Tribolium castaneum: one gene and its partners. The protein of the gene in region 3 purifies or fractionates together with the protein of the main gene of each other region. This does not show direct contact. Links are inferred from orthologs where the notes say so. Each region holds a gene or a part of one and is shown on either strand. Other genes may lie near its edges.

Region 1 (5,462 bases), on a different chromosome or scaffold from region 3:
TTGAGGCACTATTTTGTTAAAAAAAAATTATGAAATTTAATTTGATGGACTGTTTTCTTCCTCTCAAAGTGTGAACCTAAAACTATCAATGATTATCAAAAAATGATAAAAATGGACTGTGGTGTAAATACTAATTAGTTAAATTTTCATATTTCTCGATGTTTTAAGAAAAAAATACAACTTTGAAAAAGTTAGGGAAGCTTACAAATATGTATGAACACTAAAGAACAATATTTAAAAAATTGAAGGCACCGAAGGACAAAGCCTTTTAATGAAGAAATTATAACAATAATTACAAAGAGCGTTTAACGTTTTTTTAGTAGATCAAATAAGGAAATAAAAAGGTTACTAATAAAACACCGAAAAAGTTGTAAAAACTTTGTTTTAAGGAAAATAGCGAAACGATTTATGAAATCATCTCCTAATTGATTCGTATAGAAAGAAGAGAGGGTTTTTACGCCTTTTGCAAAAATGGCAAGTGGTGCAATTAATTGCAAGGATTTGTGCCTAATAAAAAGCGTTGTCTTAATAGTATTACTTAGTATATTTCCTTTGAAATTAAAACAATAATTTACAAATAGAAAGATAATCCACATTTAATATTGTAGTTAATTTGAAAAACTGCATCACAGTACCCACATCAACATTTGTAAAAAAAAAGTCACATTCAAGTGTTTAAAAAATAAAAAAACAACTGAAAAAAATTGCGCAAAATTTAGGCACTATAATCAAGAGGAAACTACTTTGGTAAATAAGTAAATAACGAGGCTTGTGATTATCACAGAAGAAAAGCGAGAAGAGACACACCAACTATGTAGATCCATTACAAATACGGGATGTTGCGGGTACTGCAGAGACTGCAAACTAACATTACACCTAAATGGAGTCTAAATAAAAGTTACAAAAGGTCTTATAATGTAGAGTTTACTTATCGATGCAGTCTTCTCTAGATCATAATCTAATACCTTAACTCTGTATCCTAATAATAAATTCATTGTATTCATATTTGTCAATGGATTATCAACTTTTTTTTTAATTTTTTTTTGGTTTGTAAGCAGTGTTTTAAGCACAGTAAAACTGCGAACGACTTTGTTCAATTCAACATAGCTACGACTAATATTGGTGTGTAATACAACCGAAAAGGTTTTCCTTGCCCTAGTTTACCATAACAATTTTGCAATTTGTCAATAATTTAATAACCATACGTAATAGACATTTTAGCCAACTCCACTGCTAAGACAAGAGTAAGTTAGTTGCTACGGTAGTATGACATGAATGAGAATGACTTAACCACTTGCTATTCGACGACGATTCCTGGCAGACGTACGATACGTGCCTCGGATGAGAAACCTTTGGAGCCATCGGGGCCTTTCGGTTGACGCAAAACCGTCAATTTGGGGCCCGCATCGTCCACAGACACGGTACGCAGACGGCTGATTAACCGCTCTGGACGCGCTTGCACATCGCTGAAACAAAAACAAAAAACTACCGTCAAAATCCATAACAAATTATTAACAGAAAAAAAATGAAACATATTTTTGCGAAAACAGCAGATTTTTGCATTTTCTGACATTCTCAGCAAGAACTAGAACCAAAAATTTCAAAACTAATATTAATTTAGCTTCACTGGCGTATTAAACCCGTTCTGTTAGAAACGCAATTTCGTCAATTTCTCAAAAATAAACCGGAAAATATTGTAATTAAAAATAAAGCTCTAAACTCGCTAAACCGAACAAAAATCTAAGTCGCAAATTTGTATGTGTTTTTCAAAAAATTTAACAAAATTTTACAGCCAGAAACGTAATTATTTGGCGATTTTTTTCAAAAATTAAGCTAAGAAACTCACGAAGCCATTTTGTACGTTTTTGAGATAAAGAGCACGTTTTTTGGAAAGTTTCGTCAAAATTATATCGGAAAACCACCGTATTGGTCGAAATTTTCAAGCATCTAACACAAAAAATTTCGCAAATCTGTGTCAAAAATTACTCAAAAAACGTTAAATTGGACCAAAATTGTTATTTATGCCTTATCCAATCGCCTAAAGATGTTAGGCTAAAAAAATATTTTAAACCATTTTCTCGTAAGCTCAAAATTATCAAACGTAAACTAAGAAATGGTTTAATTAGGCCTTTTTCGAGTGCTTTAAGGCAGTTTTAAGTTACAAACAAACTCGCTATATTGCGTCAAAATGACCAAAAAAATCACTAAATTGAGTGGAAAATTACAATATTGTAGATTTTTTAAAAATTCCATCGATTTTAACACATTTTACAGCCACAAATTTCTTAAAAAAAAACATTTAGGCAAGATTTTGCAAAATAAGAATTTAAAAATTACAAAATGTAGTCAACAATGACAACCAGAAACGCAATTATTTCATAAAATTTTGTCAAAAGTAAACCGGAAAATTAGTAGATCAGGCTTAAAGTAATATAATCTCGCAATTTTCCAATTTTTAAGGCACTAGGACAAAAACTTGATGGATTTCGCAAAATTGGGGAAAAAATCACTAAATTGTGCCGAAAATTACAGTTTGGTGCCAGAAACGTAATTACATTGCGAAATTTTTTACAAACAAAACCACAAAAAAAAATAGTTCAAAAATGAAACACTGTTTTTGTAGTTTTTGAGTATTCAAACAAATTTTAAGTACAAAATATTTCCACAAAATTGTACTGAAGAAGAGCTCAAACATGGCATTATTTCGTAGTTTTTGTGTTTTATTGGAAAGCTAATCACTCAGAAATGTGGTTATTACGCGAAATTTCTCAAAAATAAACCAAAATCAAGCCTCAAATAGTGTAACTTTCGCCTTTTCTAAGCATTTCAAAACAAATTAATTCTAGAAAGTCGATAATTTTGCAAAATTGGACAGGAAAAACACCAAACTAAGTCAAAAATTTGCAAATTAATGTGCAAAATGCACAATGAAACTATAGATTCTTCGAACATTATAAATTCTTTAAGAACATTTTTTGACTAAAAACGCATTGCTTTTAGTTTTTTAGTTCGAAAACGACATTATTTCCAATTTTTCCCAGAAACGCATAAATTTCATAAAAACTCATCAAAATTACGTCGTAAAGTAGCTGCATTTTTGTGCTTTTTTGAGTGTCATTTTGTCAAAAATAAACTGGAAAATTTACTTTTATTATTTTTTTCAGTTAAAAAAAGATAATTTTGCCATTTGTTTACGTTGTATAAGCGGTTTTTTTTTATCCATAGACGCAACAATTTTCCAAAATTTTGGCAAAATCAAGACCAAAAAATCGCAGAAGTGGTTAATAATGATGCTGTAACTGACACATAAGACACATTCAATAATTTAGCAAAATTTTCGTAATCTTTCTGAAAACTAAAGCCGGAAAATGGCCGGAACAGGCATTTTAAAAACATTTCACAACCAGAAACGTAATTGTTAAGCGAAAGAAAAAAAGTACCAAGATTGTTTTTGGTAAAAAAAACACCATTTTTTTAGCATTTTGATAAATAATGCTAAATTGAATAGAAATTGGCAAACTGTTAACTGTTACTTTTTCGAGTACATTTTACGGCCAGCAGCACAATTTTTGACATTTTTTGACAATTTTATAATAATTTGCCCTTTCACGCAGAAACGGGTTTTTTCGCATAATTTTGTCAAAATTAAATCAAAAAATTACAGAATACATCAAAAATAATGCTATCGTTTTCAGTCACACTCAACTCCATCAAAAATTAACACAAAAACAAAATTTGGTTACAAGTGAACCAAGAATTTACCAAATTAAGTTCAATTTCACTGTTTTTTGTATAATTCCAAATAAAAAAATAAATAACGATATTTTGCTCTCCAACGTACGTATTACAATTTAATTAATAATTACCCAAAAAATTAAAACTCACCTGACTTTCACCACACTACAAGCCGACGACTTTCCACTCCTATGATTGGTCACAAGCACAAACTCGACAGTATCGCCAACTTGTAAATTAACATTATCCTTAACTTCCGTCATGTGGAAGAACAACTTTTTGCCCTCTTCCACTTCATAAGCCAAAAAACCGAAATGACCTTTGATTGCATCTACCGTTGCTCGTAGTTTCTTTCGTACAGCAACAATGTTGGCAGCCCTGCCTGTTGAATCCACTTGTAATTGTACATGGTCACCCACTTGTAACAATTCGCGTTTATTGACAAGTCCCATTATTCCAAACTCATATTCCAGTGCTTTCTCTTCGGGATCTTCCGTTTTTATTCGAATAAGTCCGGAGTATTCCGTTTGATCGGGATTTACCGAACGTAAAGGACGGACTACTGTTCCGTCCAAAACATCGCCAATGACAGGCGGTAGATTTATCGTACCTTTCGGAATAATTTTAACGTTTTCGGCTGAAGAACACGTGCCCGAATTGCCGCGACTACCCAAATTGTATTCAACTTCTTGGCCCAGTTCAAGACTGTTGGGCTCGCCTTCGAAATTACTACGAAAAAATACATACAATTATTATCAAAAGCTACAATGGGAATCTAAAAGCTCACCTAAAATGGAAAAAGACTTCTTTATCATGTTGAGTAGTTTCGATGAATCCAAAACCGTCTTTCAACGCTGCTATGAAACCTTGGTATATTTGACAATTGTTGCTAGTTCTATGTTTAATTCCGTTGGTTTGTGTAGCGGGTTGCACCACTTGAATGTCAACTGCTATTAATTCTTTGTTTCTCTTCACCTGATTTACGTTAAATTCGACCTAAAACAAACGAAATTCCACTTTGATTGTTTTTTTTTATTTCATTTTATTCGAAAAATTTGGGATGAACAGAATACTCAATTAATAAAATGTGAACTAAAATGAATTATTTTTTGCACATTTCGTTCGATTTCGAAAAACCCACTAAAAAATTTCGAAACGTTTGAAAAATTTGGCGAAAAATGTCCTATTATCGCCTACTTCAATAAATTTTAAAGCGCTATTCACCAAAAAACTCCCGAATTTGAAAGATTTTAACCAAAATCAAAGCAGAAAGTTCCAAAATTATGCCTGAAGTGCCTTGTTTCGGTCCATTTCAGCGAAATTTTTAACGAGAAAATCGGTGAATGTGAGAATTTCAATCAAAATAAAACAGAAAATTGGGAAAATGAAGACATAGTGTTTGTCAAATTAAAACTACGCCATCTTAACTTGTTTCTCTCGATTCAAAGCATTTTTTCACCGAAAAATTTCTCCAAAAAAAAAAGCAAAAAATCACAAAATTATATTGGGTTGCTTGTTCTATCCGCTCGATTAGCATTGTTTAACCACAAAAAACACTAAATTGGCAAACACAACTAAACTGCCAAACACAAGAAAAAACTTAGATAAGTCAGATCTGCAGTGCAGTTTTTTGTCTGTTTCGATGGGACTTAACACTGTTAACTGATTTAATTTTAAAATAAAATAAAAGCAAAAATAAAGCATAAAATCGCAAAAAAGATTTGTTT
Region 2 (4,912 bases), about 5.4 Mb from region 3:
TTGCTAGGCCCCGTCATAATCCAGCACAAGATCCTCACTTTCTTGAACATCAAATCGGCAACAGTACTATTCTCCATCTGGTGGAACTCTTCATCGTGTCGGTGAACCCCCGGATCGATCGAGGGCCCCGACGCAGACTCCATCTCCTGACTCGTGTGGGGATCCCCCAAAGCCACCAGCAGAATCGCCGGCGAGAGAATCACATAGGCGGTCACAAACCCCACCACGACACCCGACAAGAGGGCCACCAGAAATTGCTTGTTTACGTTCGACCTGAAAATATTTACCCCCCTTATCTCGGTGTCCACTAATTAACAAAACAACCAATTCTTAATTACGATTTAATTTAATATTTTGTAAACAAACGTTTCATATTACAAGGGGTGTTTACTTAACTTACCATTTATGTAGCCCTAACCTTATGTAACTCATAATGAGACCGTTGTAGGAATCACGTCAGGAACATGTTGTTTTGCATTTTGAGTTAATTTAATTCGATTTAATCCGTGGATTTAATACAAATTATTGTTTATCACAAAAGAAATCATAAACACATCCAACTTCGCGTCCCACCATTTTGACACTGCGCAGGGGCACCAACCCACTTCTGTGTTTACTTTTTACTCATTTTACAAGTCTATTGCCTTGAATTCGAACAGTTTCGCCTGATCTTGATATTTATTTTAAAATTTAAATGTGAAAATTGGGCAAAACTAGGCTATTTCAAATAAATAACTTGGAACAATCGTGAGGCAAAGGTACAGCCACTCAAAAAGAAAATGACCCGTTCCACATATGGTTGTCGTTTTTTGAAATGTTTAAGAATTTTTTATTGGTATATTGGTTGGTTTGGACCAATCTTATAGAAGTTTACATTTTGGCGAAATTAAAAAAAATTATATCTTCCTTATTATCAAAGTTACACGTTTGAATCAAAGACAGTACAAGACACTTTTTTACAAAAATTGTAACAATATGAATATTTTTTTACTGTTTGTTTAGCTGCAATAATTTTAAGTTGTATTTTTTATTTTTCTTAATGAAAATCGTAGGCGGCCGTGAAATTTTTGAAGCTGGTTTTTTATTTATGTCTACTTATGTAATATATAATTTTTAAATATTCTTAAAAACCGCAATATTTTGCATTTTTTGCAAAAAGTATTGGATTTTCAATTAGAACTGTTTTTTGGAAATAAAAACTTTTAACTTTAAGCATTAAATAAGGTACCTTATTCAATGCTTTAAGCCACTTCTTTGCTTTGAGATTTTCGAACTCAACCATGTCATAATTAATTATTAATTACCAGAATTCTTTTATTTCAATTATTTTACAACAAAACCTTTGACTTAAAGAAAGCATATTGAACAGCACTCCCAACATACTTATTGTAAAAATTAAATTTTAAATAAAAATTTAATGTTCATTAATTTCGCCTGATTTTTGTATTTTTTCAATACTCAAGTGTGAAAATTCATGCAAAATTATTAGTTTAAAACTTAAAGAAGTTCAAGGGTTGGTGATTTGGGGTTGTAGATCAGTGTGTTACTGAAAATATTACGTAATATATTTAAGAATTGCACAACCACAATAAATATAACTTAACGTTACTAATATACATGAGCAAAATTAACTGCAACTCTGACGTGGTTTGATTATAATAAAATTATCTTACAATAATATTTACACATAAAAAAGGGATGCAAATCTGCGTCATGGTACGACATCCAGCACAAAACCACTGAATAGAGCAATGTTTGTGTTTGAAAAAAATCTGAGACTTGCAAGGCATTTTGTGCTTAAATCCACATATCAAGTTATATCACTTGGGTTGGTTGATGATATGTGATTTAAATAAACGTAAAAATGCACACTGTACTATCTACGTATGTTGAACCCTTTGCTCCCGTCTGGTCCTTTTGGCAACCGAATTACATTATCTAAGTCACTTGAGCGCGCCTTGCACGCCACTATACTAATCCTGAAACCACAAAATGAGCAAAAATCGGCCACAACCCACCCGTACTTCTCCTCTTCAGTTTTTTCAGTCTCTCCTAAAATCCTAAGTCTGGCCTCTGCATACTCCTGCTTCCTCTGCTGCAGCGTCTTTTTCGGCTGGAATACTTTCGAGTCGTTGGTGTTCTGCGGCTCCTTCGAGGGCCGCTTCAGGATTTTCACTGTGGGTTCCGGAGGCACGTACTGGGTCCTTAAGGCGTCGTCCCCCGTCAGTAAAATTTTAATCGGCACCGAACTAAGCCCGTTACTGCAACAGAAACATATATTCGGGGCATCCCCAGACCGCGGTGTCACCTTTTGGGCTCCAAGGACTTGCTCGGCGGAATAATTGACTTAAACTTCTGGTCTAACACCTGAAATCACACGGTTAGTGGGGATAACCTCAATTAGGCATGGGGGTGCAAAAGGCAAAAGGGGCTCTAGTGGGGGCTGGGGGCGGTTTTGGGGGAAAAATGGGTGCAAATGTGGGGGTTATTACATCAGTCTCTTCGATTTCTTCCCAACTTTCTAATACCTCCACTTCTTGTTGCTTGGAAGCCATGTTTTTGGTCTTGTCAGATTTGGGGATTTGGGGTTTGGGACCAAAGTCACTAACACGACCTTGAAATTCAAATTTATTAAGACTATTTTTTGAATAAAGAATCGATTATTCCGAAGATGTTCTCGGTCACAGGGGGGCCACTTTCGTCCGTGTTCTGCGGCAAGTCTTTTAGCTTGACGCTGTGTTGCCCATTTGCTAGAATTCTCTCGGCTTCCTTCGCTAAACTAATCTGAATCATCTGCTTGTTCAAAATTGGGACGACCAAATTAAACTTATCAATTTTTTTATTAATCAATTCGACTGTATTTCTACGGTTTTGTACAATTCTAGCCCAATCGTCACTGTCTTTACCACTTAGGGGACAAGGGCCCAAATACGAGCGCTTTTCTCGTAAAAAATTCCTCAATTCTTGAATTTCTTCCCTTATTTCCTTCTGTAGCGTAATCCATTCAGGTGTGAACCCGTTATCTATTAAAACCTCGTTTAGTTTATGGGTCACAAAGTCAACGTAAGGGTTGCGGTTTTGGTGACTTGGAAGAGGTTTTCCAGAGCCGGATAAATTGCTAAATTCGCCCCGAGACATCGATTCCTGAATCAAGTCCTCAACGAGACGCTCTAGTCCATATTTGGTCTTAATGTTGTGCTTCAAGGGGGCCTTGGCCAGGAGAGCCCCTTCCTCGGCGGAAACTTTGGACATTCGGTGCTTCAAAACGTTGTCAGCTGCATGTTGGGCCCGGATTCTAGTGTACTGTTTTTGCCTCTGAAAGGGATTTCCAACCCCGACACCGTCGTAACTCAAGTATTGCCGGTGTTGGGGGGCTGTGTGCTAAAACTAACAATCAAAAAAAAAATCGTTTAAATCAGTCATACTTTAATGTCCTGCTCTTGCACTTGAATTTCGTCATCGACTTGCCACCGCTCGCGCGATTTCTTATCAGTTAGGACGCGAAACGCCTTATCAATCTGAAAAAATGGCTCAGAAAAATAAAAAAATGGGTCAAAAATTTTACTTGTGAAAATTTCTCCGCATCAGCTTCTTTGGTACCACTATCGGGGTGGTACCGCTTGACAAGGTTCAAGTAAGCGGCTCGGATTTGTTCCTGCTCACTGTTTTCGGAAATACCCAAAATTTTGAAACATTTCTGAAGAAAAAAGTTCAAAAAACGTAGCAAAAAAACATTGCTCTACCTTGTATTCTAATAATTTGGCAAAACTGCTGTAATTCGTGTAGAAGACGGTGATTGTGGGTCGTTCAATTCGTAGAAGGGCCATTCTGTAAAATTTTCCAAAATTTATGCAAATACTGGATATGACAAAAAACAGATCAATGTAATTGTAATTTCAAGCCCGGCGTTAAGAATGTTTAATAAAAACATGGGTTAAAAATTAAAATGTAACCAACCAGTGAAAATAATTAGGGCCTTTTATTAAAAAAAGTTTTTGAAAATTGGCGCAAACACCGGGTATGTCGGAACCAGTGGTACCACAATTCCTAATTGTGCTTAGTGGTGCAATTTCGGGGGAAATAAACACAAATCAGTGTTTAATCTCGCAAATTGCGCTATTTCGTCGTCAAATCGAGCGAGAAGTTCGTCCCGATCGCATAATTAGTCCACGTAAGCCGCTTAACTGTAAAATTTTTAGAAGCACTGACGTCAACAACGTAGCCTGTCAAAATCGTCAAAATGGCGGAGAAGAAGAAAGGAAAGAAACGTAAAGAGGTAAATTTGACTTGTTTTCGCGCAAATTCCGTTGTTTCCCCCTTATTGTCGCCCATAACCCGCGTCCAGTGATGAGTTAATTGGTAAAGTGCCGGGCTGGTGTTTTATTGGTTAGTTGTCATAAGGGGGCTTTCGGTCGTGTTGTTCCGTGCAATTAGGTGACGTTGCGCTATTTTCCCGTTTTTATTGCCTGATCTCGTGAAGAACAATGCGGAAATTTCCCCCGACGTCACAATTCGAAAAACCCGTTTTCACAAGTGACGCGTCGACGAATCGTTCGTAACTTTAAGAAATTCACAGACCTGAGTCAGTCGTGCGGTAATCGCCGCTTTTTCCCCATAAAATCCTGTTCTTTTCGAATTAAAGAAGGTTTTTACGTGTTAACTGAGTGACGTTTTGTTTTGGCGATTTGGAGTTGGCAGCAGTTGATTTTGACGTTTTGTAGGAGTATGTGGCTCCCGGCGAAGAAGTTGCTGATAAACCGGCGAAAGAGGAGTTTGTCATCGCCAAATGGATGCGGAAAAATGTTCCAATTAAGAAAACTAAGTTTCTTAACCACAATGTTGAGTATTTCACTGGTAATTTATCATAGTTTGTTTGGGGGGAAAGTTGAGCTAAGTTGGGCAAATTATAGCT
Region 3 (5,644 bases):
TCCTCGTCTTTGAAAATCTTCTCGCAAATTTTTTTCCCCGGCTCGAATTCTGTTATCAAAGTTCCAAGAATTTTCACGCCGTTTTGATGCGCGGCATTTATCCAACACAAAGGTGGGATTGTGATTAGGTGGTGACTGAAGTAAACGAAAATATCGATGTGTTGCCAATTATAAAACGAGTACAAATTCCCGATGTTGCTACTTGACAAAAACCTGTCTTCCAAATAGCCACCTTTGTAGTCATGGCACACTAAAGTTTTGGGAACAAATCTCTTATCGAGACGCGTTCGTGGACCGAATTTTTTCGCATCGCAATGACAATCCGAAATTATGTTTTGCACTACTGTGGGGCTGCGCTCGGTCAAGGGCGCGACTCGGCTCACCCACTGGGGCGGGTTTTCGATCACTTCGGAGATGTTGTCCAATGATGTGATTGGAAAACACTCGAATTGGTTTAGTTTGAGTTTTTTCATGGCAGGGGGGCCGTCACTTTCTACAAAGAGATTTGAGACAACTGGAGGCGAAAAATGAGTCTTGTTACCAGTACTCATTATCGGTAATTGTAGGACGGCGGGAAACGGAAGCTGATAATGCGGGAAAAATTATTTCCGCATCCGGGGCCCCTGAAATAGCATCATAACCCAATTCTTATTTTTTTTTTTTTGAATGACATAACCTCACTTTTTATCTTATTGTGATTACGCAGTTTTTATCGTACCATAGCGGTAATAAATTGGAGCTTGTAATTTATAAAGGTTTTTTTGCCTCTTACCGTTTTTAATTATGTGGAAAATGGGGGAAAAACAAGAGGTATAACCTCACTTTTTTTGTGGATTTTTTTTTCACATTTCTTTATTATTTATTAGCCAAGATCACTGAATGTAGCAATCGGGCCATTTCACTTCGTACTTATCAGTTTTATCACCTAGTGTTTTCCCATTGATCGACTGATTAAGGCCAGAACCTAACCTCGCTTTTTGCGATTCTTTGGTGCTTTTTCCTTGATTTGGGTCAACCGGTTTGTTTACAAATAACCCGCTTTCAATGTCAGGAATTTGGGACAAAAACTCGCCAATTTTCGTGATTATTTATTAAATATTCAAACAAATAGTAACATAAATAAATCAGTTTTCCGTCGCTTTTTCGTCTTCTGTTCACCTAATCGTGAAAGAACTACGAGTTACTTGGATTTGAGGAAGGAGGAGAAAACAAATTCGTCAAACAGCTAAATCGCGGGTACTTCTTTGGGTGACGTAATCGCGTCGTTGTTGATTTGGGGCCCGTCAACGCATTTCCAAAGTCCATAAGTCTTGCCAATTGTGGTTTGCCAAAGTCTTAAAGTGCCGTCTTCTGACCCGGAAGCGTACAATTCACCGTCGGGCGAGAATTTGACACAATGGACGGGGCCAAAGTGGCCCTTGAACGATTCGATTTCATTTCCAGTTGTGTAATCGAATTTGTAGACTTTCAAATCATCGCCACCGGCGACGAAAATCGTTTTGTCGGGGTGTAGCGAAGCCGAATTGACTGTCGTAGGAACGGAAAATTCTCTAATTTTGTTTAGAGATTCGGAGTCGAGGAATGTGACGTGATTTGAGTGGGTTACTGTGAGCACGGTGCCGTCTCTGGACACCTCAAGGCTGTTCGGAATCGACGGGAAGTCCATTTTCTGGACTTCCTGCAAAAAACTGTCTAGTATAATTATGATCAAGAGCGAAAGTTTTTAGACGGCCGGTCGTAGTAGGGCGACATCTTGCGGAATTTAATTTGTCAAAGTGACATTTACATTGTCAAAGTTGACAATTTTGCAAATTTGTTTTTTTATTTTTATAACGGCAATAACCTAGTAAATATTTGGAAACATGTATCATTTATCCCTTTCGAATGAAAAATCGTCTGATTAAAGCGGAAATTACATAATTTTGTTTTTTTTTCAAACGTTTTTTCTAAGTGTTTGAATTTGAAGTAGATTTAACTCGAATCTGGTCAATATTTTTTAAAGTAGCGACCGTCCGTCTAGAACAAAATTGACGTGGTTCGAGATTTGGTTACCTTTCCGGAACTCCGGTCCCAAACCCTCAAAGTCTTATCGTCCGCACACGAGACAAGATGCGTGTCATTCCTGAAAAAGATCACGTGTCTTATCCCGGAAGTGTGCCCCGTAAACTCCTCGGGTTCTGAAACAATAAATCAAATCGTTCCGATCAGAAAAGGAGCCAAGGCGAATGCGAGGCCACCTTACTCGCTTCGGGTTTATTCAGATCGAAAATTCGGACAATTTTTTCGTTGCTCCCCGTCGCCAATAAGGCACTGTCTTTGGAAAAGTTGACGCTTTTGACGATGTGTTTATGCTGGAAGGAGTGCAGTTCCTCGCCGGAGTTGGCGTCCCAGACCTTGCCGGTGAAGTCGGCGGCGCCGCTGGCGGCCTTGGTGGCGTCCTTGTTGAGCGCGACGCCCCAAACCGCCCCCTTGTGGCCCTCGAAGGTGCCGATCCAGTCGCCGGTGTCCCCTTGCCTTAGCATGGGTTTGCCGTCTGAAAGCGGCCTCGTACGGTGAATCCAGGCCAAGGTAAATGTCGCCGAAGGTAAAGTTTAACTTACCTTTGCATGCCGAAATTAGGAAATAGCCGTATTTTGTCACCGAACTGAAGTCGAGATGGACGACGGGACGAGTGTGGCCGCTACAGGTTAAGGGGGTTTGACGAAGATTTGCCATAGTTTTCTATTTTATTAGGTCAAACGGTACAAAAAAATTATACTAAAAACCTACACACCACACTAACACGAGGAGTTCAGAAAGCGAACTGAATTTGACAGCGTCAACAACAGCTGGGAAAGTGGCAATAAGGGACGCATGCGCGGGTGTATAATTGGTTACCTACCAATCACAAAAAAATTCATAACTCGGAAACTAAAAGTCGTAGAGCAATGCGGTTTGTTCCATTGAATTCAGCGGTTCATTTTCTGTATTATACCAACTTTTCATGAGATTTAAAATTTTCAATTTTTTTGCTCAAATTTCCTGAGTTATATTATAATACACTACTTACCTTCAAAGAGATGAAAAAAAAATTTTTTTAAACTGACTTCAGCAAATTTTTATGGACTTCTACATGTCTTAACAACCCACTAAAGTTGTTAAAGGTCCACAAAAAGTCCATATGTTCAATTTTTTGATGTTTGATTTTTTCAATTATCGTTGCAGTTTTTGTCGGTTTTGGGTACCCGGAACATTTCTCGAGCAATAGCTCCGGAACTATTAGAGATAACCCCATGAAGTGTATTATCGTTGGAAAGCTCTTTAAATTATCTTTTTTTTTCAAAAAAGATTATTCTTCTCCGACTAATAGTTTTCGAGAAAATTGCTGTTAAATGCAAAAATTGGTAAAATTTTAAAAAATTCATAACTAAAAAACTATTGGGAATTTGGCAATTTTCTCGATGCCAATTGATTCCCCGGATCATTTTGCATAGGTGTGGATCAAAACAGTTCCACTTTTTACAATAGTGTTTAGCCGTAAATGAGAAAATAAAAAAATTAAAAAAAAAGTTAACACCCCCCCCCAAAATCGGCCAATTTTTAAAGTGTCTCAAAATCAAAGGAAACCCATTCTGTCTTATAGATTTTGATGTGCTCTTTACGATCGAACAAACCGTTTTCTTCTAGCTCTTTTAGTTTGGCCGTAATCGGCGTTTGAAAATTGAAAAATTATTTGCGAGATATCGCCTTAAGTCCTATGCCATTTTGTAGAGTTTTTTATTCCGGTTATCCTCCATTTTTCCGTTTCTCGATATCTTTAATAGTTTCGCCGTAATTGACGATTGAAAATTGAAAAAAAGTGAAAACGGAAACCTTTTTTTGCGTTTTTCTCGGAAACTGTAAGACTTAGAGCAACGAACAAAAAACCATCTGATAGCGCTTAATTTTGTCTATTTTTTCGACCAAACCCGGAGCCGCTCCGGGCAACGGTTCCGGCTACAGAGGCGATCAAAGTTTTTCACTAAAAAAATTCATAAAAAAAAATTAAAAGTCGTAGAGCATTGCGGTTTATTCGATTGAATTCTACGGCTCATTTTACATATTATATCGATTTTTCACAAGAATTAAAAATTTAAAAATTTTTGCCTAAATTTAGGATAGCCATTTGTCATAGTGAAAAATTTTATTCATTAAAAAAATTCATAACTCGAAAACTAAAAGTCGTAGAGCAGTGCGGTTTGTTCTATTGGATTCAGCGGCTTTTTTTCTTTATTATACTAATTTTTCACGCAATTTAAAATTTTCATTTTTTTTGCTCAAATTTCCTGAGTAAAACACTACTTACCTTCAAAGAGATGAAAAAAAAATTTTTTAAACTCACTCCAGCAAATTTTTATGGACTTCTATATGTCTTAACAACCCACTAAAGTTGTTAAAAGTCTACAAAAAGTCCATATGTTCAATTTTGTGATGTTTGATTTTTTCAATTTTCGTCGCAGTTTTTGTCGGTTTTGGGTACCCGGAACATTTCTCGAGCAATAGCTTCAGAACTATTAGAGATAACGCCATGAAGTGTATTATCGTTGGAAAGCTCTTTGAATTATCAATTTTTTTCGAAAAAGACTATTTTTCTCCGACTAATAGTTTTCGAGAAAATTGCAGATAAATGCAAAAATTGGTAAAATTTTAAAAAATTCATAACTAAAAAACTGTTGGGAATTTGGCAATTTTCTCGATGCCAATCGATTCCCAGGATCATTTTGCCTGGGTAAGGATCATAATAGTTCCACTTTTTCAAATAGTATTGCCGTAATTTATTTTACTTTTAATTTGAAAAATGGTGGAGGCGCCGAGTTATTTTTCAAAAATTCATAACCCAAAAACTAAAAGTCGTAGAGCAATGCGGTTTGTTCCATTGGATTCAGCGGCTCATTTTCTGTATTATACCAACTTTTTACGAGATCTAACATTTTAAAATTTTTTGCTAAAAATTAAGATAATCATTTCCTATAGTGGAAAATTTTATTCAACAAAAAAATTCATAATTCAAAAACTAAAAGTCGTAGAGCAATGCGGTTTGTTCCATTGGATTCAGCGGTTCATTTTCTGTATTATACCAACTTTTAACGATATTTAAAATTTTCAATTTTTTTTGTTTAAAATTTTGATATTCAAGGCTTTTGCCTTCATAAAAATGAAAAAAAAAAAACATAAAATCTAAAATCGCCATCGCAAATATGTAGTTAGGAAATCATCAAGTAGTTTCCTTGGGGGAAAGTGTACGACTCTGGAATAAGAAAGAGCAAAAAAAGGAAGCGGTTATTACATACTCAAAAGCAAAAGCTTGATGGGGGAGCTAAACGGATTACATAAAACCGGAAACGCTATAGGGGAACTACAAATAAAGATTTACAGCCGAGTCACAATTCAGAGGATAAAATCCTTTCATATAATAATCGCTGTATGAATAAGTTATGGTGGGAAAAAGAAATCTTAAATAAAACAAAATACCGTCTCGTTTTATGTTCTTTATTACATAGTTGATAGATAAAAAATTACAGTATATTTGATCAATGTTCACACCGCGACACAGACGTAGCATAACAATAATGTAAAGGTCAGGCAGACAGAAACAGCAACTGTGCCGAAAATGGCACTTTTTGCA
Region 4 (5,977 bases), on a different chromosome or scaffold from region 3:
CAGGGTGCTGCATTTTGGATGTCCGACTAGGAGAACTCCGAAAGTAAAAGATTTAAAGAAAAACGAGTCACATTCGCGGCTCCGTTTTTTGAGAGAATTATTTTACCCAAAATCGCATCCTGTTATAGTCTTTTATTTTCGACTTTCGAAAAAGTTGTCATTTTAGTGGAATATTAAAACATTCATATCTTCCTTATTATAAAAGATACTTATTTAAAACAAAGACTTCACATATTATTATAACAAAGTCACGTTTTACAGAGAGAGAATTTAATAATGTTGTCAGCGATTTTTTTTATATTTCGTTCAACTGTAATAACAAAAAGTTTTATTTTTTTTTAAATAAGAATCATAGGCGGCTGCAGTATTTTTTAAAAGCTTATTTTGTTCTGATTTGATATATCTATTTATGTAATACATTATTTTTAAATATTAAGGAAAACATAACATTTCGCTTTTTCTTTATGGTAGGCCATGAAAAAAATTTCGATTTTCAATAAAAACTATGAAAAAATATATTACCCAACAAGTATTTATAATTTAATGATTTTTTAAACACTAATTAATTCAAAAACAGCATAATAAATTATTATTAGAACAAATTTTTGCGATTAAGAAAAATTATTTGTTTTTAGATTTAAAATGGCAAGCTAAAATTGTCATTCTATTTCTTAATTAAACATGAAATGTGGAAAAAAGAAAAATCTTATTAATCGTATTGCCTGTCAATATTTATTTTACAAAATATTTTACTCTTTTGTAGTAAAAAATACATAACATTATCAACGTCATCGCCATTGCACTTCACTAAATCATAAGAAAGTGTTATTAAATAGTAGTGACACATCGTTTTCAGTTTTCTGAACATTTTTTATGTAATTAAAATCTGCGACGATCGTATATTTGTTCTATTGAAAATAACTTTAACATAACTTATTTTGATAATTTCAAATTTTTTACTTTAATAACCGTTCACAAAATTTCTAGATTATTCACAGCTTATATGTGAAATAATTTTTCCATGGCCAACTGCTTTCAATATGTTTTTTATTAAAAGTATATAGAAATATCAAACTGTATTTATATTGTTTTCAGTTCAGAAAAAAAAATTTTTTCGAAAATGTCATAGCCAACTATGATTCCTATTTAAAAAATTCAATTTTATGTTGTTACAGTTAAACAAATAATTAAAAAAAACGCTGATAACATTGTTATATTCTCTGCATAATGTGTGTCTTAAATGTGTATCTTTTATAATAAAAAAGATATGGGGTTTTTAGGATTTTGCTAAAATGGCAACTTTTATTTATAAGTCGAAAACAACCGCGGAAAGCGGTTTTGACCAAAATTATTTCTCAAAAATTGGACCTGAGAATGTGTCACTCGTTTTAGTCTAAACCTCTTATAGTTTCGAAGATCCTATTTGGACATCCAAAATGCAGCACCCTGTATAGTCGAACAAAATAAAAATAAAACGCGTCCATAACCACCCCCGATCCCTTGACCACAACCAACCAACCAACCCCTACCATAAATTATTAGAGATCGTAAACTAGTGGTTCAATGAACTTACAACTGATAAACATTTATTAATTTTCTTAAAAAACAAATGAGAACTAAAAAAATTTTCAGATTCGTTGCCATGTTTTGTCACTAAAAATAAATAAATTAGTTGGATGTTTTGTGGTTCACTTAAAAAAACAAATTATTTTCGGAAATAAAAAAATTGTAGTAAATAATACTTAGTTATAATTAAGACACGATTGAGTTCGAAAATCTCGAAGCAAATAAGTGGCTTAAAGTCCGACATCAAGTTGCCATTTAAAATTCAATGACAAAAAGGTAAAGTTAATTCGAATTAAAATTAAAATGTTTTTTAAATCGACACAAACTTATTTGGCATTAACTAAGTAATACAATTTTTTTTTGACCTCTTAAAACCTGATGTAACGAACTTGATTTTTTTTATTTTTCGTTTGTTTTAAAAAAAATTAATAAATTAATGTTTATCGATTTTAAGAAAAATTGGAAAATTTTGGTCTCACCTTATCTCCTATGGTGTTAGGTATTCTTAAATTTTTCTAATGAACCTTATTTGGACCTAAATGGTCAAAATTTTAATCAGGGTATTTCCATAAATGAATTACCCTAACGTCCATTGATTACTTTTATTCCAGTCATACCAAGTTTTTGAAACATTTAATAAACAAAAATGTTAATAAAACCGATTGTGCAATTAATAATTGAAACGATGAAAAGTATAGACAGACGTCTTTACCTGTAAAATTTAAAATACAATTTTATTAGATTACTACATTTTTGTTTTATCTTGTTTTATGCACAACGATTCAGTAAGTTTTATATCGTTAAGAAATAAACTATGTATAAAGACAATAAAATTTTTAGTTACAGTTTGTAACAATGAAATTTTAAAAATAATTATTATTTTAATTTAAAATATTTTTGAGCAGTGATCATTTCGCGGTCAAAGTCTTTAATGAAAAATACTACACCGATTACACCGCAAAAGATAGTGAAATAAAACAGTTTTTTAATTGTCACGTAATTTTATTTTTGCAACAAAACCTTTTAGTTTACGAAAACATATTAAACAGCACTCCCCAAATATAGTAAAAATTTAATTAACCTTCAACTCTGTTCATTAATTCGCAATGATAATAATTTAATATAAATGAAATAAGAATCCGTGTTTTATCACGTTTGTTATTCGGCAAATTTTAGTCGCATAAGTATTATAGTTATTTAAGTTTCAAGAACGGTAAGGAGATTTTACCGATCGAAGAGGAGCAGAAAGAGGAGGAGAAGCGTAGCGTTACACCTCACTCGTGTTCAAATAATGTGTTTTCGTACTTTGAGGAAGTAACTATTATTTCATGTTTGTCCTAGCCAACCATTTACAACAAGGAATTCTTCAACATTTCAAAATGTAGAACAACATTCAAAACTAGTTGACGATCTCTAATGATTTATTACAGGGGTTGGTTGTGGTCAAGAATTTGGTGTGGCACCGTAAACGTTCGTTTATGGACGCATCATTTTCATTTTGTTTGATTGTATGTTCTTTTACAAAAAAAAAAAATAAAAACCATTTACGTGACAGCCCACGCTGCGCAGAACGTCTTCAATTTGCACAGCTATTTCCCGCGTCGGGACCAAAATTAAGACTTGTAAATGGTCTTTGGCCGTATTAACAGTCTCAAGAGCAATTGTTGAGAACACTAAAGTTTTGCCGGTCCCGGACTTGGACTTCACAATTAAATCTACAATTTTCGATTAGTTCTAGTCCTGACAAAAGTGACAAACGTACCAAAACCGCATCGTCCTAGGGGAATGGCTTTGAACTGAATTGGAGACGGTTTTTTGAAACCACTAACCGAGAGCCCCTGTTTTATGTCGTCGGGGAGTAGTAATGACGCAAAACTGATGTTTTCGTCGAGAATTACGTCTTTTGTGCGCTCTTTTGCATCTAAATCGTGAGCAATGGTTGGCTGCATTATTAAATAAATTAAAACTGTCTAACCATAAAACTAACATAATTTTATAACCTCAAAAAACAAAAATTTGACGTTTCGTGATCGTTTGATGTGTTACAGAAATCTGTAACCGTACACGTACTAAAATATTTTAATTTTTAGTAAAACTATCAAGCTTTGTTATGTAAATAATTGTGCTACTTTTAGTTGCTAGAATTCATCATTTTGTATTTAAAATTGGTAAAAAACGTCTCTGAAACAGATAAAGACTGATTTGTTGAAGATGATTCCTGTAATGCCGACGTGGTGTTGGGATCGAAATGATGGCGCCAGTTTCGAAATGACTAAAATGAGTCGGTATTAAGTAACATTTTATTGTTCTGATATTCAGGTTATAACAAAAGGCAACAAAACAATAAGAAAGTACTATAATAGTCTTAAATTTAAATGAATTTTGTAAACAGAACGGCGTAAAAAGAACAATACCTCACTAAAACCGAGAGCATTATTGTTGCAGAAAACTACGAAAAAATCGAATTCAATATCTTACATATAGTCGAATTTTCTTTAATAAATAAACCCATAAAACCTCAAGCACATGTTTGACAGTAACAGTGTTTTTAATAATAAAACAAATCTCATGTTAGTTTCGAGCGTCGTAACTGTTGGAGGTAATTGCGTTGCACCGGTTTATGCAGCGCGAGCTGTTCTAGAGCCTCTTCTATCGTGAACCACTGTCGCTTCCTTCCTATGGTCTTTGAGTCTTCCCATTCGTCTAATTCTTCAGTTACTGTCATGACATACACTTCAGTCCTGTCTTTGTGTTCTAAATTCTGAAAAAAAGAACGTTCAGTAGAATCGGACACTTTCTTAAACTAAAAAAATAAAATTAAATTAACTACTACACGCTCTCTCGAAACAGTACCGAAATTATCGTAATCCCCCATTTAATGAATTTTTTGCAATTTTGAGTGAACATTGTCAATTTCTTACATTAGGGAGAGTATGTGGTGATAAATACTAGCTTTGACTTTAATTGTGGGGTTTTGCGTGGTTTAAAGTGTTTTTTGTTGGAATTTGAAAGTGGATAAAAAATGAAAAAAATAGTTCTAATTAATTTAACCATATTATCCATGCAAAGTATAATGACAAATAAATTCAAATCAGTTTAGTTCCCAATTATTAAAGTTTAATTCGTTTTCAAATTATAAAAAAATACAGGCTATGTACAAATTGGCGCGTAAAGTCTTCAGTACGCTATAGCACACGTTCCAACAAACATTAGAAAAATATAGTAATACCTTGTTTATCCAAAGTCAATAAAACCAAGGTTTCAGACGTAAAGATTTGGACTGTCAAAAAATCGGATTATTGAGTATACTTGAAGTATGTAGAACTTTTGTGCATTTTTAAATTTTATTTATGTAATACGTATAAACAAGTAACAACAATAGTAATTATATTTATAATTTGAAGAAACAGACGTGGAAGTTTTAATAAGTACATAAGTATAAAAAATAAAATATCAATAAAACATAATTAAAAAATTGAAATAATTATAATGAAAATTAATCCAATTAAAGGCACAGGACAAATAAAAGTGTTTCAATCGACTAGTTTCGTTCCCTATTAACATTATCAGGATCGCCATAGAAAGAAAAGACAATCCATAATTTTATTGCAATAATGTAATTGTCCTCATTTTCTGTTGCAATCTTGATGAAGTTCAACCGGGAACGAAACTAGGCACGCTTATTGTGATTTATTGGAGACAATCTATAGTCTTTGAGACGAACCAATCGGTATCGTAAATATTTTTGAGTCACCCTTGTCAAAATATCTGATTGTGAGTGTTGCTTATCTTAAACACCATTACCTGTTGTAAAACTTTATGGTATACAAAGAAAACGTTGCTACAATAACTAAGCGTTTCTGAAGCAATTTAAAAGAAGTTGAAACTTGCAAAGAATAAAAACGGATCACTTCAAATTACTAAATAATAATTATTCAGTTTCCAAAAGTTTCAAACTAATGAGGTATTACTGTAATAAAAAAAATCCCTCTCAATAATTCTAAGCAGTATTATTGAGAAGTAAAATGGAAGTTTTTTTCTCCTAATTTCTTAAAATATTTTTAATCGGTGATAGAACCAAAAAAAGATTAAGCTCCCCTACACTTCCATGTTAACAAAACAGAAAATTATTTATAATAATCATGAATTAATTTTCAAAATTGTGATTTTCATACCCAGAAAGTTAAAAAATTGATCTGACAACATGGCAAAAAATATTCCATAGTTACAGTTATAACTTCTACAACAATTAAAATAAAGGTACGGTGAAAACACTCAAGTACTGACTAGTGCCATTTTTTAACAGACTGTTTTGTGTTGATAAATTCGTTAAAAATGACGATGGATTTTTTTATTAAATCTTTTAGAAATATCCTGAAACGTTTCCTTAACATACCAGAGCTTATAAGCT

The links.
Region 1: the proteins of wmd (region 3) and Unr purify together in Homo sapiens (affinity purification with mass spectrometry; 3 studies listed by BioGRID and IntAct, counting the BioPlex papers as one, with this or other methods). This does not show direct contact. The link is inferred for Tribolium castaneum from reciprocal best matches to the Homo sapiens genes STRAP and CSDE1.
Region 2: the proteins of wmd (region 3) and SUZ domain-containing protein 1 purify together in Homo sapiens (co-immunoprecipitation; 3 studies listed by BioGRID and IntAct, counting the BioPlex papers as one, with this or other methods). This does not show direct contact. The link is inferred for Tribolium castaneum from reciprocal best matches to the Homo sapiens genes STRAP and SZRD1.
Region 4: the proteins of wmd (region 3) and probable ATP-dependent RNA helicase DDX20 purify together in Homo sapiens (affinity purification with mass spectrometry; 3 studies listed by BioGRID and IntAct, counting the BioPlex papers as one, with this or other methods). This does not show direct contact. The link is inferred for Tribolium castaneum from reciprocal best matches to the Homo sapiens genes STRAP and DDX20.

The regions. Positions count from the first base shown.
Region 1 is NC_087394.1:5,372,994-5,378,455, reverse strand, and holds the end of Unr (cold shock domain-containing protein E1), read right to left. Parts: intron 4,732-5,462; coding exon 4,523-4,731; intron 4,465-4,522; coding exon 3,886-4,464; intron 1,467-3,885; coding exon 1,298-1,466; 3' UTR 365-1,297; downstream 1-364. UniProt on the Homo sapiens protein: RNA-binding protein involved in translationally coupled mRNA turnover.
Region 2 is NC_087399.1:6,523,172-6,528,083, reverse strand, and holds SUZ domain-containing protein 1, read right to left. Parts: upstream 2,620-4,912; 5' UTR 2,556-2,619; coding exon 2,493-2,555; intron 2,368-2,492; coding exon 2,309-2,367; intron 2,262-2,308; coding exon 2,025-2,261; intron 1,980-2,024; coding exon 1,877-1,979; 3' UTR 1,548-1,876; downstream 1-1,547. Other genes in the region: glycoprotein-N-acetylgalactosamine 3-beta-galactosyltransferase 1, read right to left, coding at 1-273, 401-432; dnaJ homolog subfamily C member 28, read right to left, coding at 2,638-3,381, 3,426-3,518, 3,566-3,697, 3,744-3,827; Trp1 (translocation protein SEC62), read left to right, coding at 4,241-4,276, 4,722-4,854, 4,911-4,912.
Region 3 is NC_087399.1:1,128,512-1,134,155, forward strand, and holds wmd (serine-threonine kinase receptor-associated protein), read right to left. Parts: upstream 2,832-5,644; 5' UTR 2,716-2,831; coding exon 2,601-2,715; intron 2,534-2,600; coding exon 2,243-2,533; intron 2,178-2,242; coding exon 2,053-2,177; intron 1,679-2,052; coding exon 1,226-1,678; 3' UTR 1,076-1,225; downstream 1-1,075. Other genes in the region: ENGase (cytosolic endo-beta-N-acetylglucosaminidase), read right to left, coding at 1-493, 542-551. UniProt on the Homo sapiens protein: The SMN complex catalyzes the assembly of small nuclear ribonucleoproteins (snRNPs), the building blocks of the spliceosome, and thereby plays an important role in the splicing of cellular pre-mRNAs.
Region 4 is NC_087394.1:23,206,352-23,212,328, forward strand, and holds the start of probable ATP-dependent RNA helicase DDX20, read right to left. Parts: upstream 3,609-5,977; 5' UTR 3,516-3,608; coding exon 3,329-3,515; intron 3,282-3,328; coding exon 3,108-3,281; intron 1-3,107. Other genes in the region: Aps (diphosphoinositol polyphosphate phosphohydrolase 2), read right to left, coding at 4,133-4,327.